3 linked regions of the Callithrix jacchus genome follow. The protein of the gene in region 1 interacts with the protein of each later gene in a biochemical or structural test. Links are inferred from orthologs where the notes say so. Each region holds a gene or a part of one and is shown in the gene's direction. Other genes may lie near its edges.

The links.
Region 2: of the proteins of CASP8 (region 1) and BCAP31, one has a biochemical effect on the other in vitro, tested with the Homo sapiens proteins (2 studies listed by BioGRID, with this or other methods). The link is inferred for Callithrix jacchus from reciprocal best matches to the Homo sapiens genes CASP8 and BCAP31.
Region 3: the proteins of CASP8 (region 1) and DEDD form a complex in vitro, tested with the Homo sapiens proteins (2 studies listed by BioGRID). The link is inferred for Callithrix jacchus from reciprocal best matches to the Homo sapiens genes CASP8 and DEDD.

The regions. Positions count from the first base shown.
Region 1 is NC_133507.1:122,348,678-122,355,333, forward strand, and holds the start of CASP8 (caspase-8), read left to right. Parts: upstream 1-2,559; 5' UTR 2,560-2,862; coding exon 2,863-2,887; exon of another isoform or gene 2,888-3,164; intron 3,165-5,077; exon of another isoform or gene 5,078-5,135; intron 5,136-6,656. UniProt on the Homo sapiens protein: Thiol protease that plays a key role in programmed cell death by acting as a molecular switch for apoptosis, necroptosis and pyroptosis, and is required to prevent tissue damage during embryonic development and adulthood.
Region 2 is NC_133524.1:149,634,332-149,640,188, reverse strand, and holds part of BCAP31 (B-cell receptor-associated protein 31), read left to right. Parts: intron 1-3,808; coding exon 3,809-3,956; intron 3,957-5,857. UniProt on the Homo sapiens protein: Functions as a chaperone protein. Is one of the most abundant endoplasmic reticulum (ER) proteins.
Region 3 is NC_133519.1:20,979,621-20,984,708, reverse strand, and holds the end of DEDD (death effector domain-containing protein), read left to right. Parts: coding exon 1-62; intron 63-679; coding exon 680-826; intron 827-1,524; coding exon 1,525-1,901; 3' UTR 1,902-3,075; downstream 3,076-5,088. Other genes in the region: NIT1 (deaminated glutathione amidase), read right to left, coding at 3,267-3,533, 3,786-3,911, 4,063-4,196, 4,387-4,490, 4,597-4,851, 5,086-5,088. UniProt on the Homo sapiens protein: A scaffold protein that directs CASP3 to certain substrates and facilitates their ordered degradation during apoptosis. May also play a role in mediating CASP3 cleavage of KRT18. Regulates degradation of intermediate filaments during apoptosis.

The DNA.
Region 1 (6,656 bases):
CACAGGCACAATGGTGCCATCTTGGCTCATTGCAACCTCCACCTCCTAGGCTCAAGCGATTCTCAAGCCTTGAGTAGCTGAGACTACAGGCACATGCCACCATGCCCAGCTAATTTTTTTGTATTTTTAGTAGAGATGGGGTTTCGCCATGTTGGCCGGGCCGCTCTTGAACTGCTCTTAAGTGATCCGCCTGCCTCAGCCTCTCCAAGTGCTGGGATCACAGGGGTGAGCCACTGTGCCTGGCCATAATTCACTTATTAGCTCTTCATATATGTATATATATATATAAAAGATCTAAGACTGGAGAATCTAGGGTCAGTGCCTTACAAATGGCACAAGTTGAAGCCCTGAGACTCCCACCGCTACCCTGCTCCCCGCATTCTCAGTACTGCCTCTCAGATGCATCCAGCAGCTAACCCGTATTTGCAAGGCTGGGTTTGGGTACATGCAGTGAGACGTTTACAGGGTCTAAGAGCAGAAACTCTTGAGTGAGACACTCCTGAGTTCATGCACTGGCCCTGCCATTTGTCAGCTGATTGATGTTGCATTTAATTTCGTCATCTGTAACAGGCCTAATAATCTGTAGCCATCTGAGAGATGTTGTGAGCTTGAATAACAGGGTAGTGAATATTTATTTATTTATTGATACAGGGTCTCGCTCTGTCACCCAGGCTGGAGTGCAGTGGCATGAGCATAGCTCCCTGCACCCTTGACCTCCCACGCTCAAGTTTTCCTTTCACTTCAGTCTCCTAAGTAGCTGGAGACCATAGACGCACCTCACGACACCTGACTAATTTTTAACATTTTCTGTAGAGACGGTGTCTCCCTATGTTGCCCAGGCTGGTCTCTATTTCTGGGGCTCAAGTGATCCTCCTGCCTTGGCCTTCCAAAGTGCTGGAACTACTGGTGCGAGTCACCGCGACCACAGCCTATTTACTGAGAACTGTGGAAGGCACAGGCACTATTATAAGTGCTCCAGCTGTTTTATCTCCCACATTTTTGCTCAGTTAGGAGTTCCAAAGCTGGAACTTGAAGATTCGTATTTTAAAAAATTTTGCAGTTAATTCTGAGGTTGGTCAGATTGAGATCATGGTTGTGCATTCATGTTTAGGCAGTGACTAACCACTCAGGGCCTTAGAGACAAACAGAGCTCATTCTATCACTCACTCACTGAATGAGCATAGCCAAGTCTTTCAACCTCTCTAAGCCTCAGTGTCCCCATTCATAAAATGGGACCAGTAGTAGCATCCACTTCTGAGAACTGTTCAGAAGTGGAAATGAACCAATTTAGGTGGCCATGTCTGGCATACACAAATGGTTTGATTAGTATTAGCTGTGCCTTTATTAGGCCATCTCATTTTTGTTAGGTGACTGAGAAACCAAGGACCTTCTGACCTTTGTGCATCGGTCACTCTTAGTTTAAATTTGTTGCTCTTCCATCCACATAATTGATTCCAAATCCTAAGTGTTGGAGAAAGGGAGTTAGTGTGTCATAGAAAAATCCCTGTCTTTGGCCCAGCAGGACTGTGTTTGACTCTATGTAACTGTTTGAGCATTAGTTTCCTCATCTATAACATGGGAGAACAATACTCTGAATTGCTGAGAGAATTAGTGGTAGTTCTTGTCATGGTGTAACATATAAGTAATGTGTTATTGTTGGTGTTCTGGTTATAAAATGTACAACATGTGAAAACAAAAGGGCGGAAAACCCTTATTAAAAACTCAGGAAACAGAAGCAGATGGGAGAGAACTGGGGAGGGACTGGGCATGGTGGCTTATGCCTATAATCCCAGCACTTTGGGAGGCCAAGGTGGGTGGATTGTTTGAGGTCAGGAGTTGGAGATCAGTCTGACCAACATGGTGAAACCCCGTCTCTACTAAAAATGCAAAAATTAGCTGGACGTGGTGGTGGGTGCCTGTAGTCCCAGATACTAGGGAGGCTGAGGCAGGAGAATCACTTGAATCCAGGAGGTGGAGACTGCAGTGAGCCAAGATCTCAGCACTGCACTCCAGCCTGGGCAACAGACCAAACAAACAAACAAACAAAAGAGAGAACAGGGGAGGGTCTGGGGCTCAGAGCTTGGGGAACAGACCTCACTCAGTAGCACCAACACTCCAGGCTGGATACTACAAAGACACAGGTTACTACTAAACTGGAGAACATGGCCACGGCTGGGAACTCAGGGCTGAGCCAAGTAGGGCTGAGCGAAAACACTTCCTCCTTTGTGAACAATCTACCTACATTTCAGCTACAGGGCTGGCTTTACTCAGTCCTCGGGGAGGGAGGAGAAGGCTGGTCTGTGGCTTCAGTGCTGAGATTTGGATCAAGAGAGGGAAATGCCCTCTCCCCAGACCCTTTGCAAGGAAGAATGGCATATTACTTGCTACGGACAGGTGTTATTATTATTAATGGAGTCAGTATAAATGCTTTCCAGTGAAGCATGTCCAGCGCTCGGGTTTCTAGTTTGCACGTCAATGAATTGTCTGCCACCTACCTCTTCTGAATGGTTGGAAATTGGGCATCTGTTCCTTTAAAAAGGAAACATTTCTTGCTTGAGTGAGTCATCTCTGTCCTCCTGCTTTAGGAGTACAATTTACCCCGGAGTTCCTTCTGTTGTGAATTTTCTTTTTCTCTGGAGACCAGATTCTGTCCTTTTGCTGGAGGGAAGTGTTTTTACAGATTTCCTCCTTACTCTTGCGTTTTTTTCAAGCCGGGCTGAATTTGCTAGTCCACTCAACAGGAAGTGAGGCCGTGGAGGGTGGTGATCGAAAGTAAAAGAAAGGTTCCTCCTGGGAGCCCTTCCCACCCCGCTCCCCACGGAGCGTGTGGAGTTAGGCAGGTTAGGGGACTCGGAGACTGCGATGGTGCCCGGAAAGGGTGGAGCGGGTGAGTGCCTGTTGCCGAGGTGACCCCTTCCACAGGAAACCACAATATTTTTGTTTCTTCACTAGCTCTAGAAACGGGTCGGTGGGCAGGGGGAAGCAACTTGCATCTGCCCTTCTGAGGACACCTCTGGGTCCTGCCTGGCCCCGCTCCCCTGTGGGGCTTCTCTCTGAGCCGTTGCCTCTGACCTTGCTGCTTTTTCACTCGGAGGAGTCTCCAGTTTCTTTGCCGCCTTCAGAGCTTGAGCTCCCAGCTTCCCTGACGCCTCGAATACCGACACACTGTCTCCCTCCTGTGGACCCTTTTGGAGATTCCAGAAAACTTTATCAATCCACTTTTTTTTTTTCTTTTTCATTTGGCCCTGGGGCAGGGGGTTAAGTTCTTTATTCTGTCGAATCACGATGCCCTGCAGACCTGGGTCCCTAAGGCGCACAGCCGGCTTCCTTCCTCCCCGGGTTCTAAGGGTTTCCTTTCACCTCTCCACTCCCACCCCTGCCCTCTCTCTTGCTTCCCAAAGACAGTTCTCTAATGTTTTGATATGAATTCGTGATTTAATCTGTATCTTTGCAAAATGTATTTTTCTTTTGTGTGTGTACACTATTTTTTAACTATGCGATCTGAGGCAGGTAAGTAATTCCTCTGTGCCTCTGTCATCTCATCATTATATGGGATTAATAATGCCTCGGGAGGTGACTGTGAGGCTTGAAGGAGACACTAGGCACAAGTCACTTACTACACCAGTTATCAATTACTATTGCATATTAATATTATTGGTATTTTATTTTGCACATTCTATTTCTATTTCTTTTTTGTTTTTTTGAGACAGGGTCTTGCTCTGTCACCCAGGCACAATCATGATTGTACAGTGGCACAATCATGGCTCACTTCAGCCTCGACATCCTGGGATTAAGCAATTTTCCCATCTCAGCTTTCAGATTAGCTGGGACCACAGGCATGTGCTACTACACCTGGCTAATTAAAAATTTTTTTTCGTAGAGATGGTGTCTCACTATGTTGCCCAGGCTGGTCTCAAATGCCTAGGCTCAAATGATCCTCCCACCTTGGCCTCCCAAAGTGCTAGGATTACAGGCATGCCACTGTGCCCATCAGGCATTGATGTTATGAGGCCACCTTGACCTAGCCCTCTCTGGTGAGGAGTCCCTTTCAGATACTTCATTCAGTCTTCTCAGCTATGAGTGCCTGCCCTCTGAATGCTTATATTCTATTTGGGGAAGGACAAAAGGCAGCTTCAAAGAAGAGAGATGCTTGATTTTCTTTTCCTGCTTTTAATATCAGAAAACATTTCAGCTAACTCTCAGTATGAAGGCAATCTTTTGTTTACTGATACATATATTATATACATATGGGCAACTAGAGCCCAACATGATGAGGTCCCCAGGATTTGCCTCTTTGATAAGATGGTAAAAACCCATCTTGCAGTTAACTTCATGGTTTCCTCAGCTACACTCATACACAAGGACCACCTTTGGTAAGATGGGCTTACCAAAGAGTTATTTCATTTTAGAGTTCTTTTCTTTCTAGATTTTTTATTTTAGAATTTTTTTTTTTATTTCAGAGTTTTTTCTTTTTAGAGGTTTTTCATTTTAGAGTTTTTTATTTTAAAGTTTTTTAGATTGCTGAGAGTGGAATCTGGTGACCTTGGGGCCATGGAGATGCTCCTTGGCTAAACCAGGTGCTTTAGCTCTGAAAGTTCGCAGCCACCTTGAGAACCAAGATGAGGGCTCTGCAGTGCCCAATCTCAAGACCTCTCCGGGGTGCTCAGTCACGATACATTGAATGAAAAACTTAAAGTCTTAATGATGAACCCAAAAAAACTTCAAATACTAAATATGAAAAGAAAGTGTTCTTAGTTACAATCCAGTCCAGTGTCCTCATTTCAGAACATGGAAATGAGGCTCCAAAGGTAAAATGACTCATCCAAAGTCACACAAAGATGTTGGCCAGTGGCCATTGCTCAGGTGGCCATGTGCCTTGCCCCACCCTGCCTGCAATCTCATGGACCACCAGGCCTTTTCCCTTTAGCTTTAGGAGCTTTAGAGGGCGGCTCTGCTCACTCAGAGACAAGTGGTAAGTGTTGTTTCCCCTCTAGTGTTTGTGACTCAGGAGTTTCGAAACAGGAAGTGCAGCTGGCTGTGCCTTCCGTCCTTCATTAGACGTTTGCTCTTGTCTTAGATGCTCAGATGGGCAGTGGATAGGCCTGTGAAGAAGGTGCTACCGTTGTGATAATAAGGTAAGGATTCGCCTCTTTGGTAAGGTCAGAGGGGCCTTTTGGGAGGAAGGCCTTTGATTCTGGAGTTTTCTAGGCTCCTGAGAGTGAGATTGGGTGGCCTTGGGGCCATGGAGGTGATCCTCATGTTTGAGTGTGGATGGGGAAACCATGAAGTTAGTGTAAGAGGCAGCAGTCCCTCTGAGAGCCTTGCCGAGGGTTATGCAGTTTCCAGACCTCAAGCCACTCTAACTTAGATCGATGGAGTCTTAGGAGTTTCTGAAAGGCTCCAAGTTTAGCTACTTGTACGAAAGCCTGATCCCAGCCCAACTTGTCTTAGAAGCCAAAATTTAAATCTCAACTGACTTTGCTGCTACAGCTATCCTCCCACCAACACACAGACCCACCAACATACACATTTGCCAACATAAACACACACACACACACACATACGCATACTCATACCCATTGTCCTACTAATTCAATTATTTGTTTTTTAAAGAAATTTAAAAAGGCTGGGCATGGTGGCTCACATCTGTAATCCCAGCACTTTGGGAGGCCGAGGCAGGTGGATCACCTGAGGTCGGGAGTTTGAGACCAGCCTGACCAACAAGGAGAAACCTCGTCTCTCCTAAAATTACAAAATTAGCTGGGCGTGGTGGCCCATGCTTTTAATCCCAGCTACTTGGGAGGATGAGGCAGGAGAATTGCTTGAACCTGGGAGGCGGAGATTGCTGTGAGCCGAGATCACGCCATTGCTTTCCAGCCTGGGCAACAAGAGCAAAACTCTGTCTCAAAAAAAAAAGAAAGAAAATTAAAAAGATACAAAACAGTTCAAAAAACAATATAATGGGAAGACTGGATGGATGAAATCAGAGACCTGTCCTTGTGGGGTTAAGCATTTACAGGTGAAGTTGCAAGTTTCATTCTGTTTGAAAATGATGGGCTTGTATGTTTTGCTGAGGTCGGGATACCTTTGCTTGGTTGTTTGCACACTGTGGTTGCGGCGCCCTGCTATGGACACCATGTGAGTGCAGAATGGATGTCTGTGAGGTTCAGGGGCAGCCCAAAGTCTGGGGCAGCCAGCCTGGACCCGAGGCCGTGGCAATACTACCTACCGGTTAGAGGTTTGGGCCTGAGAGTGAGTGGCTTTCAGGTTCTCTCAAGTTTTGGATGAGATGCAGGTTTTTGTTTCCGATGGCGAATGCATGTTTTGCTTTTCCCCCCACCTGTGGGGTAGTTATCAGTGCAAGAGCTAGGATGCTGCTAGAATATTAACTAGAATGATGGTGATGAGATGGAATGTATTTGTAGTCTAACTGTGGCATATAAAACAGTGGTAGAATGGGACTCTGGAATGAGATGCTGAGGCCTAGACTCCAGCACTTCCTTTGTGAGGCTCTGACCCTCTCTCTCCTGTAGTGGATTTGTTGAGAACTCCCGGTGTTGTGGTTTTGTTGTTGTCAATTTTTTTGGAATTTTAATCTCTAAAAAAGTTATGATTTTATGTTTTTCTTCGTGAGATTCCTTCACCGCCTTCCAGCT
Region 2 (5,857 bases), on another chromosome or scaffold:
TCCTTACTTGGGGGCAGAGAGGGTTGAGCAGATCTGCCTGGGAGGGTGGAGTTCCTGAGAGTGTAGGATCTTCCCACCTGGGCTGAGGCCTGAGACAGGGAGGGCCTGGATCTACTGTGGGACTTGGGTTAGTATTGCTTCGTCCTCCATCCCCACTCTTGGTCATTGGCCAAGGTGGTCCTTAGGATGATGGGGTTCTTGGATGCAGGTGACAGTGTAAGAAAACATGTATTTTATCTTGTTTTTCTGATTACAAAAATAATGCGTAATTATTCTTAAAAATTCAAAAATTGAGTTTAGAAAAGTAAACTCCCCCTTAATCCCATGTCCCACACAGGTAACCATCATGAATATTTTGTTACACATTTCCACAGGTGTTTTCTATGCTGACATCTTTAATAAAATGTCTACAGCAGTGGGATCATACACACAGAGTATTTATGTTTCTTTATTTTATTTTTATTTATTTATTTTAAAGACGGGGTTTCACCACGTTGGTCAGGCTGGTCTTGAACTCCTGATCAGGTGATCCGCCCGCCTTGGCCTCCAAACTGCTTGGATTACCAAGCCACCACGCCCGGCCTGAGTATTTATGTTTCCTTCTACGGTCCTGCTGGGACATGGCGAGAGGAGCATTCCACACCTAAACAGGCAGCACAGCTCTGAGACAAGACTGCTGTCCACAGCAGAGCTGAACCAATGCTTTGGATGGCGCTTTTGCTACTTACTGCGCCTTACACAGCCTTTTTTTTTTTTAAGACAGAGTCTCACTGTGTCACCCAGGCTAGCTGGAGTATAGTGGCACCATCTCAGCTCTCTGCAACCTCTGCCTCCCAGGTTCAAGCAATTCTCCTGCCTTCATCTCCTGAGTAGCTGGGGACTACAGGTGCCCACTACCACGCCCAGCTAATTTTTTGTATTTTTAGTAGAGATGGGGTTTCACCATGTTGTCAGGCTGGTCTTGAACTCCTGGCCTTATGTGATCTGCCTGCCTTGGCCTCCCAAGGTGCTGGGATTACAGGTGTGAGCCACCACGCCTGGCTGACATCTTTCCATGGCAACCTCATTCTTCTTAGAGGTCACGTAGTATTCTCTCATGTGGTTGTGCCATAGTCTGTTCTTTATAAGCCTCCTCGCATCATCGTACATTTATGGAAATCCTTCTGTGGGCAAATACAGAGGTGGATTGCTGAACCCAAGGGTATGAACACGACATTTGATGCATGTGTGCTGCTTATACCCCTGCTAATAGCGTTTGAGAGTACTTGCTTTGGCTGGGTGCAGTGGCTTATGCCTGTAATCCCGGCACTTTGTGAGGCCGAGGCGGGCGGATCACAAGGTCAAGAGATCGAGACCATCCTTGCGAATGTGGTGAAAACCTGTGTCTACAAAAAACAAACAAAAAAAGAGAGTACTTGCTTCATGGTACTGATGTAATGCAAAGACGCCTGGAAGGATGGACAGATTTTTATAATGCAAGATCAGCTAAAAACCAAGCAACCTAAAACCAGAAATTAAGAACCCCATGAGGCCAAGCCCTGGCTCATACTTGTAATCCCTGCACTTTGGGAGGGCAAGGCCATTGCTTGAGCTCGGGAGTTTAAAACCAGCCTGGGTAACATGGCAAAACCCTGTCTCTACCAAAAGTAGAAAAAGAAAAAAAATTAGCTGAGTGTGGTAGCACACACTTGTGGTCCCAGCTACTGGGGAGGCTGAGGTGGAGGGATTGCTTGAGGCTGAGAGGCAGAGGTTGCAGTGAGCTGAGATCATGCCACTGCATTCCAGCCTGGGTGACAGAGTGAGACCCTGTAACCTACCCTACAAAAAGAATCTTGATGCCCATACAGCGATACCTTGCCCTTCTCATACGGAGTCTATGAAGCGCCTTCTTTAGGCACACCTTAGTGTCATGACTTAAAAAGATGTCTCAGGGTACATGGTGAAAAGCAGTAAGCTTCAATTTCTCTATTAGAGACAAACATAAATGTATTTTTAACTGGTACTCTCTCTAACAGCGGCTGTTTACTGACTCAACAATTATTTCAGTACCCACTCTGCACCCAGAACTATGTCAGGCCCTGGGAATATAGTTGAAAAGATTTCTGCTCTTGTGAAGTTTGTAGTCTTGTTTGGGAGAGATGGACCCAAAAAATGTGTTTTGTTTTGTTTTGTTTTTTGAGATGGAGTTTCACTCTTGTTGCCCAGGCTGGAGTGCAATGGCACGGTCTCGGCTCACTGCAACCTCTGCCTTCTGGATTCAAGCAATTCTCTTGCGTCAGCCTCCTGAGTAGCTAGGATTACAGGCACCCACTCCCATGCCCAGCTAAGATTTGTATTTTTAGTAGAGACGGGATTTCACCATGTTGGCCAGGCTGGTCTTGAACTCCTGACCTCAGGTGATTCACCCATCTCAGCCTCCCACAGTGCTGGGATTACAGGCGTGAGCCACCTCTCCCAGCCAAAAAATGTGTTTAAGATAATATCAGAGATGGGTGTCTATTACAAAGCAGAGAGCATAGGGTAGTGTGCCTAAAAGTGACTTTAGATGAGGTGGCCACATTTTTGTTGTATATATTGCTGGAGGTGATTGTGTTATCCTTTCCCTTTCTACATTTTGGGTGTGTTTGAACTTTTGATGAGCGTGAATTTCTTTTGTAATCAGAATAAAACATTATGAATCATAAAATGCATTGTAAAGCTTTGAGATGAAACCGTTGACCCCTAGCTGGGATCCTGCAGGTCTTAACTCCTGTTTTTTTTTTTTTTTTTTTTTTTTTTTTTGGTTTGGGTTTTTTCGAGACAGAGTCTTGCTCCATCACCCAGGCTGGAATGCAGTGGCATGATGTTAACTCATGGCACCTTTGACCTGTTGGGCTCAAGCGATCTTCTTGTCTCAGCCTCTCGAATAGTTGGGACTACAAGTTTGCACCACCATGCCCAGCTATTAATTTTTTTTTTTGGTAGAAACAGGGTCTTCCTGTGTTGCCCAGGATGGCTGTGAACTCTTGGCCTCAAATAGTCTTCCTGTCTTGGCCTCCCAAACTGTTGGGATTATAGGCGTGAGCCACCACATCTGGCCTGGGTCTTGACTCTTCAGCATCTTAGGTCCCCTCAGCAGACATTTCTATCACCAGGTTCACTCTGGCTTATCACTGGGGGTGGCTGGTGGGCCAACTTGAGATGAACAGAACAAGATGTGGTTGGGGGCACCGTGGGAAAAGGAAGCCACCCCCGTTTCCAGCAATTCTTTAGGCTTGGTTAGCATCTTAAACTGCAGAGCAAGCTTGGGGCCTATGTAGAATGGGGCCAGGGATTGAAAAACTGGAGAAAGGAGTGGGTCTGAGGGTAGGAGTTTCTTTTTTTTTGAGGCGGAGTTTCACTCTTGCCCCCCAGGCTGGAGTGCAATGGTGTGATCTCAGCTCCCTGCAGCCTCTGCCTCCTGGGTTCAAGCAATTCTTTTGCCTCAGCCTCCTGAGTAGCTGGGATTACAGATGCCCACCACCACTCATGGCTATTTTTTTTTTTTTTTGTATTTTTAGTAGAGACAGGGTTTTGCCATTTTGGGCAGGCTGGTCTTCAACTCCTGACCTCATATGATCTGCCCACCTCGGCCTCCTAAAGTTCTGGGATTACAGGCATGTGCCACTGTGCCCGGCCTGAGGGGGAGCTTCTGATAACATCATCTCACAAGGGGAGGCCAATGTGAGGGAAGCGAGGCTGACCTGTCTCATGCCGTGTCTGCCTGGTACAGCCTTGACTTGCCCTCGTGTCCGCTAAACACCTATGTCTCCCTTCTGCTCCACCACAGATGCCGTGCGCGAGATTCGAAAGTACGATGATGTGACTGAAAAGGTGAACCTCCAGAACAATCCTGGAGCCATGGAACACTTCCACATGAAGCTTTTCCGTGCCCAGAGGAATCTCTACATTGCTGGCTTTTCCTTGCTGCTGTCCTTGTGAGTGGGAGTTGAGGGGCAGGTGCTGTTAGTGGAGCCCTGGGCTAGCTAGGGACACAAAGCTCAGTGGGCTCAGTCTCCCCTGTGACTTTGATTCCTCAGTCTGTGGCCTGGACCCCAAGGCCCTGTCTGTGTTAGGGAAGCCACATAGTTTTGTCCTCACCTCCAGAGGCAGCATGGAGAGTGGGAGAGGGCCACCCGAAATGTCAGAAGACCCTAACGCACCACATACTCTCTTGGGGCAAACAAATGACTATCTTGTGCTCTGTTTGCATGGAGAGTCAGGTGTAGCGGTAAGGCCTTGTCCTCCTCTGGGAGAGGACATTCGGAGTCAAGCTTACGAGGGAGCAAGCGAATGGGGGCTCTTTGTGTCTGGGATGCTGACCTAGGGACAGCAGGTAGAAGTAGCATGAAGAGGCCAGGCCTCTCTTCCCCTCACCTCAGGGCCTTTCTCACATGAAACTCGTAATGAGGGCATGTTAGGTTCCATGGCAGCCAGAGTATTTCTGGTGGATTTTTTTTGGTAAAACTAAGTACCTTGGTCAGGACGAAGCTACTTGGGCAAAACTTGCCTACTGCGAGGTACCTATTTGAGTCTGGGTCCCTGTTTGCTGCCTCTTGCTTCACACAGCAGTTGTGATCTGCAGGGCCTGGCTGAGAGGTGGATGGAAGCTTAGACCAAGGGTGTTTGAAGGTGTTGGAAAGGCGCTTGCTGTGAGCGGGGAGCCCTCATGACTTCATCAGTTCTTAAAAGGCCCCCCCTCTTAATGCTACCATGGTGGGGATGAAATTCTAACACATGAATTTTGGAGGGCACTTAGCCCATAGCATCAACTGATTGCGTGGATTCTCAGGCTCATGCACAGTTATTCTCCACTTGGTTTTGTGCCCCGAGACTCAAGAATCTCCATGCCTAGGAGATTCTTGCCCTCTAGTTACCTGGTGTGTCCTGCTTTACCAGGCACTAGGATGACTACTTGTCTTAAAGTCTGTCATTCAGATGATCTTGTACTCTGTGTCCAAGTTGGAAAGAGGGGTGGAGCTAGAAAAGGTAAATACTTTTTTTTTTTTTTTTTTTTCAAGATAATGGGTTTGATAACAGATTTGATCTGCAGGCTTAGGAAAGTCAGGAAACAAGAAGGCTGGGAGGAGTCAGACACATACCCTAGATTTTTCAGGAAGCTCCAAACAAGTATGATCTTGTGGGCTGACGTTGAAAGGGAAGCAGATCTGGAGGACTGAGTTTCAAAACAAGAATTCTGAGTATGACAGTCAGCAAAATGAGGAAAAAAAACCACAGTGAGGAGGGAAGGAGAGGAAACTAAGGCCATCTACCAGAAAAGCATCTAGAGCTTTAAGAACAGTATGCGGGGGCCGGGTGTGGTGACTCACACCTATAATCCGAGCACTTTGGGAGGACGAGGCAGGCGGATCACCTGAGGTCAGGAGTTCGAGACCAGCCTGGCCAACATGGTGAAACCATGTGTCTACTAAAAATACAAAAAAATTAGCCGGGCTGGTGGTAGGTGCCTGTAATCCCTGCTACTTAGGAGGCTGAGGCAGGAGAATCACTTGAACCTGGGAGGCAGAGGTTGCAGTGAGCTGAGATTACACCACTGCACTCCAGCCTGGGTGACAGAGCAAGACTCTATCTCAAAAAAAAAAAAAAAAAAAAGAATAGTATCGGGAGGGTAAAAACCTGCCAGGAGCTCTGAATAATGAAAGATGGGGAGAAGTGGGGAGAAGGCAGTCCCTTTCATATGTCTGTAGGGAAGGAGATGGAGGGTAGGTCGTCAAGGGCAGAGGAAACACTAGGATAAGAAAATGGAATTTCCAGATGGGCGAGGGTAGTGTCCCTAAATGATGTACTTTCTGCTTAGACTTGATGAGATTATGCCCAG
Region 3 (5,088 bases), on another chromosome or scaffold:
CTATGTGACCCCCAGAGCCCTCAGTGATCCAGAACCGAGGTCTCCCCAGCCCCCTAAAACAGGTGAGAAGACATCGACTCCCCTTACTTTTCATAATCAAGTAAAATGACACTGATTTCATCACATTCGGGGCTTTGCCAGCTTAAATGAAAGGATGCTGTGCCCCCACATTGTGTGCCATAAAAAAAAAATCATGGCTGGGCACCATGGCTCATGCCTGTAATCTCAGCACTTTGGAAGGCTAAGGCAGGCGGATCATGAAGTCAGGAGATTGAGACCATCCTGGCTAACATGGTGAAACCCTGTTTCTACTAAAAATACAAAAATTAGCCAGGTGCCATGGTGCACACCTGCAGTCCCAGCTACTCAGGAGGCTGAGGCAGGAAATTGTTTGAACCCAGGAGGCAGAGGTTGCACTAAGCTGAGATTGCGCCACTGCACTCCAGCCTGGGCGACACAGTGAGACTCTGTCTCAAAAAAAAAAAAAAAAAAAAATTCAGGTGAGGTGTTGACATTTCTCCTAGGTCCTGTATTTGCTCTCACATTGTGTCTTTTCAAGTCACATTATTGTCACTGCTTTGAGTGCTAAGTCTAAATGATTCCTTCCTCATTCCAAGAGACGTGTTTGAATTTCTGCCTTAATCCTACTGTGTTTTCTTCCCTTTTACTTTCTGGTTAGTGCCTCCCCACTATCCTGTGGTGTGCTGCCCCACTTCGGGTCCTCAGATGTGTAGCAAGCGGCCAGCCCGAGGGAGAGCCACACTTGGGAGCCAGCGAAAACGCCGGAAGTCAGTGACACCAGATCCCAAGGAAAAACAGACATGTGGTGAGGAAGTTCAAGAGTTCCAGAGGTGGAGCAGACTTGAGGGAGACTGTAAAGAACTGTTGGAGGCCGGGCGCGGTGGCTCACACCTATAATCCCAGCACTTTGGGAGGCTGAGGCGGGTGAATTGCTTGAGGGACAGGAGTTCGAGACCAGCCTGGCCAACATGGTGAAACCCCATCTCTTAAAAAAAAAAAAAAAAAAACTGCTGGGACACTGGACAGTTTATGCTATTCAGTGTGAGATTCACTTTGAATGCCATGGCAAAGTGAGGCTGAATGGTTTGGTGTCTGGTGGAGGAACTGCTCTTTATGATTGTGGCAGGGTACATTTAAACTCTTGTTAATACTCTATCATCACCCGGATGTTGTTATGACATCCTTATTGTAGGATGAACCAAGTCAAGATGGGAGTATTAAAATGAACTTCTGTGCCTGGTAATTAGAAATATCTCCTATAAGCAAGTTGCTGCTTGTGAGTAATGGGAGCAGTGCTGACCTGGGCATGTTCAATTTAAGGCAACCTCCTGTAGTCAGGCAAGGATTGTAGAGATACATAGAACTAGTCCTGGGGAAGAGGTAGAGAAGCTGTCAGGTGATGTTCCCTACTTTATTCTGGTATGCTTTTCAGTTTTCAAGCTTGGGTTGTAAACTCATCCCTCACTGTAACCTCTTGTGCTCTGTATCTTCTCTTTCTAACAGACATCAGACTGCGGGTTCGGGCTGAATACTGCCAGCATGAGACTGCTCTGCAGGGCAACGTCTTCTCTAACAAGCAGGACCCACTTGAGCGCCAGTTTGAGCGCTTTAACCAGGCCAACACCATCCTCAAGTCCCGGGACCTGGGCTCCATCATCTGTGACATCAAGTTTTCTGAGCTCACCTACCTCGATGCATTCTGGCGCGACTACATCAATGGCTCTTTATTAGAGGCACTTAAAGGTGTCTTCATCACAGACTCCCTCAAGCAAGCTGTGGGCCATGAAGCCATCAAGCTGCTGGTAAATGTAGATGAGGAGGACTATGAGCTGGGCCGACAGAAACTCCTGAGGAACTTGATGCTGCAAGCATTGCCCTGACCTTTTCCCTCTTCTCATTTCTTTGGGGACTGTTCCCATCACCCACCTCTGGAGCTTACACTGTTCTGGGGTTTGTTCTCTACCCTTCCAACCAATGACACCCCTGCCTTTTTTTTTTTTTTTTTAAAAGAAAAAGACAAAGGAAAGTGGAAGTGGTGTTCCCCACCCCTCCCTGCACCCATGTGCCTGGGCTTCCCCTTTTTTTCCCTTTTCCATTTACCCCTCAACGTGTGTCTCTACAGCTACCTTACCACTGAGCCGTAAGACAAATGTATAGGGAGAAACAAAGTCTACAGAACATAGTCTTTGTAAGGGATTGATGTGAACACTGCTTTTGGGTGCACTAAGGGGTTATCAATACTCTGGCTTTATGAGAGCTCTTAAATTTTGTCTAAAAAAAAACCAAAGGGCTGTGAGTAAGGGAGCTATGTGGAAGGTGGGACTCTGAAGTGTATTTTGAAAATTAATTGCCACCCTCTTCCAAATTATAGAATTTTTTTAAAACGAAGCTGTGGCCCTTTCCACTCTCTCCTGGCCTCTGGTGCTGCTCCTCTCTGCCTTCTTTCCTCCATTCCATGGCTGAAACCTCTGCCTGATGTGGCTCTTTCCTTTTTTGCATTTCTCAAACCCTCTTCAAGGGAGGAATAGATAAGAGGACTGGATCAGCCTAGTCACGCCTCCCCACTATGGTGGCAGATGTGTATGCACATACACAGGGTGGATGGAGAAGAGGTTGCTGATTAAAATACACTCCCCCTGTAAAGGGGAAGGGGGAGTGTGACACTTTCTTTCCACGTTCAAATGAAAATAAATAATGTACCCTGCAGCCCTTTTCCCCTTTGCTTTCTTCTGGCTTGGGCAAAGGGCATCATAGGTGAAAGTGAAGTAATTCCTTTTTCCTTCCCCCTCCACTCCTGTGCCCGCTCCCATGCTTGGGAGAATGGGGCTGGGACATGCACTGAGTGTTGCACTTTTATTTAGGTTGGGAGGCATGTTGAATGAGCCAGGAGGTCTAGAACTGGAGCCCAGTCCAACTAGTATACCAACTCCCCTTGTAGCTCCCAAAGGAGATGTCCAGACACAGACTTTATGATTATTATATTTTTCAATGCCAGTGCTGCTCAGCCCTCAGCATAACTTCAGTTTTCATGAAATAAACAATGACTATATAAAATGCCACCTTTCTGAAACTGCAATCTGACCTCAGGTGAAAGCTTCTTTCCCAAGAAGCCAAGCCTGTGTTCCATCAAGAAAGTCAAGGTTCTCCAATTGAGGGGAGCTGTGCCTGGGTCCTGCCTCCAAGTCACATCAACACTGGCTCACAATGGGGAGGGGGGGCGAGTCTCAACTCACAGAAGTCAAGTCTTAAGACAGTGGGTGACCCAGATTACCATAGAGGTCAGGCCTCCGGTGCTGGAACACAGGCAGGTGTTGGCGCAACTGTCGTAGATAGTTGAGGTCAATTCGGGCAAGGCAGAGCCCTGGGCCTTCAGAGCAGCGGGCCACCACCGTTCCCCAGGGGTCTACCACCATGCTGTGGCCATAACTTGCTCGTTTCTCATGGTGGCATCCACACTGTGCTGCTGCCACTACATAGCACTGGGTTTCAATGGCACGGGCCCGCAGCAACACCTGGGGATGAGATGTGTGTTCAGTTAAGTATACGTAGCAAATAGTGGGGAAGTGACAAGGGACACTACAATCTACCCATTGCGACTTTTGATAATTGCCTAGGAATTATTATTTTAACTATTCTGTAATATAATTATCTGGGAAATGAGTTTTCCTACTAGGTGGAAAGGGGAAGGAGTTTAACTGGTAGGGCCAAGGGAGGAGGCTGAAGTTAAGAAAAGGCTCTTACATTTTAAAAAGGCGCCATCTTACCTCCCAGTGGGCTGGTCCCGTAACAGATCCAAAAGCTGAAGGATAGGTAAGTATCTCTGCTCCAGCTTGAGCCAATGCCAGAGAGAGTTCAGGGAACCGAATGTCATAGCAGACAGCTAGACCAATCTGGAACGAAAAACAGCCTACTTAGTCCTCCTGCCCTGTTCGTCAGAGCATCTAGTCATACTTTCATTACCCCCCTCCTTAGGACTTTCTATTCTCTACTACCAGTTCAAAGTATTCCAGTTCCCCTCCCTCACCCTCTCACAACTCCCACCTTGCCTGCTGGTGTGCTGACAGGCGACTCAAGACTGGGCCCCGGCATGGTAGAGTTGCTTTCACACATAGGCCCCTGCCCTGGAATCTCTACATCACACAGATGTGTCTTCCTGTAAGTGGCCACTACTGCCCCTAGAGTAAGAAGGAATATTCAGTGCCCGTGTTCCAGAAACCTTGCTTACTCTTCCCAAGGAGTAGTTTATAGGCTAGGAACAGAAGTAACACCCTTAAATCCTAGGGTCAAGGAAATAGAGTTGAGAAACAATTCTGGAGAATCTAAGTTTACGTGGAAGAGGCAGGCTAAAGGGTTATAAAGTCTCACCTTTGCTGTTCAGCAGCACATGACAGTTGTAGATTTTCTGAGTCTGCTCCCAGTCTTGGCCACGCTCATGGAAACCACCCAAGGACAGCCAGAGTCCACATTCCCTGGGGGGAGGGGACACTGACTTCTCAAGGCTGTACCCTCATATTTGGCAATCTAGGGGCACTGCCCAACAAAGATTTTACCTCTCCCTCCCCCATTCCCTGATACCTGGCAAGCTGGGTGTATTCTTCCAAAAGTTTCCCACCCAGTGGTTCAGACAGGTGTAGCGTCTCTGCAGGGTCCCGTGCAATGAAGTCAAATGCTTCAGGCAGGAAAGCCAGGCAAGCACCCAGTCTGGCAGCCTCTCGAACCAGCTCAGCACATGTTTTAAAGTTCTGTTGCTTGTCTGGCGTTGATGTTACCTGGCACACAGCCACGAGGGGCAGTTTGCAGGAGGAAGAGGAGATAGCCATGGCTCTGGGCCTGTGAACAGCATAGACAGGATTCTCAGATTTCAGTGCATGAGGAAACAAAATTAATGCTAAAGGGTGCAAGGGAGGAAAGCTGGACTTCCTTTTGATCCTGCTCTTACAGGCCCAGGGCTAGTAGGGCTTACTAATCAAATGTGGATAATTGACAGTCCTGTGTCTCCCATTATCCATTTAACAAACTGAGCATCTAAGTGCCAGGCACTGAGGACACAACAAAACGTGTTACCTG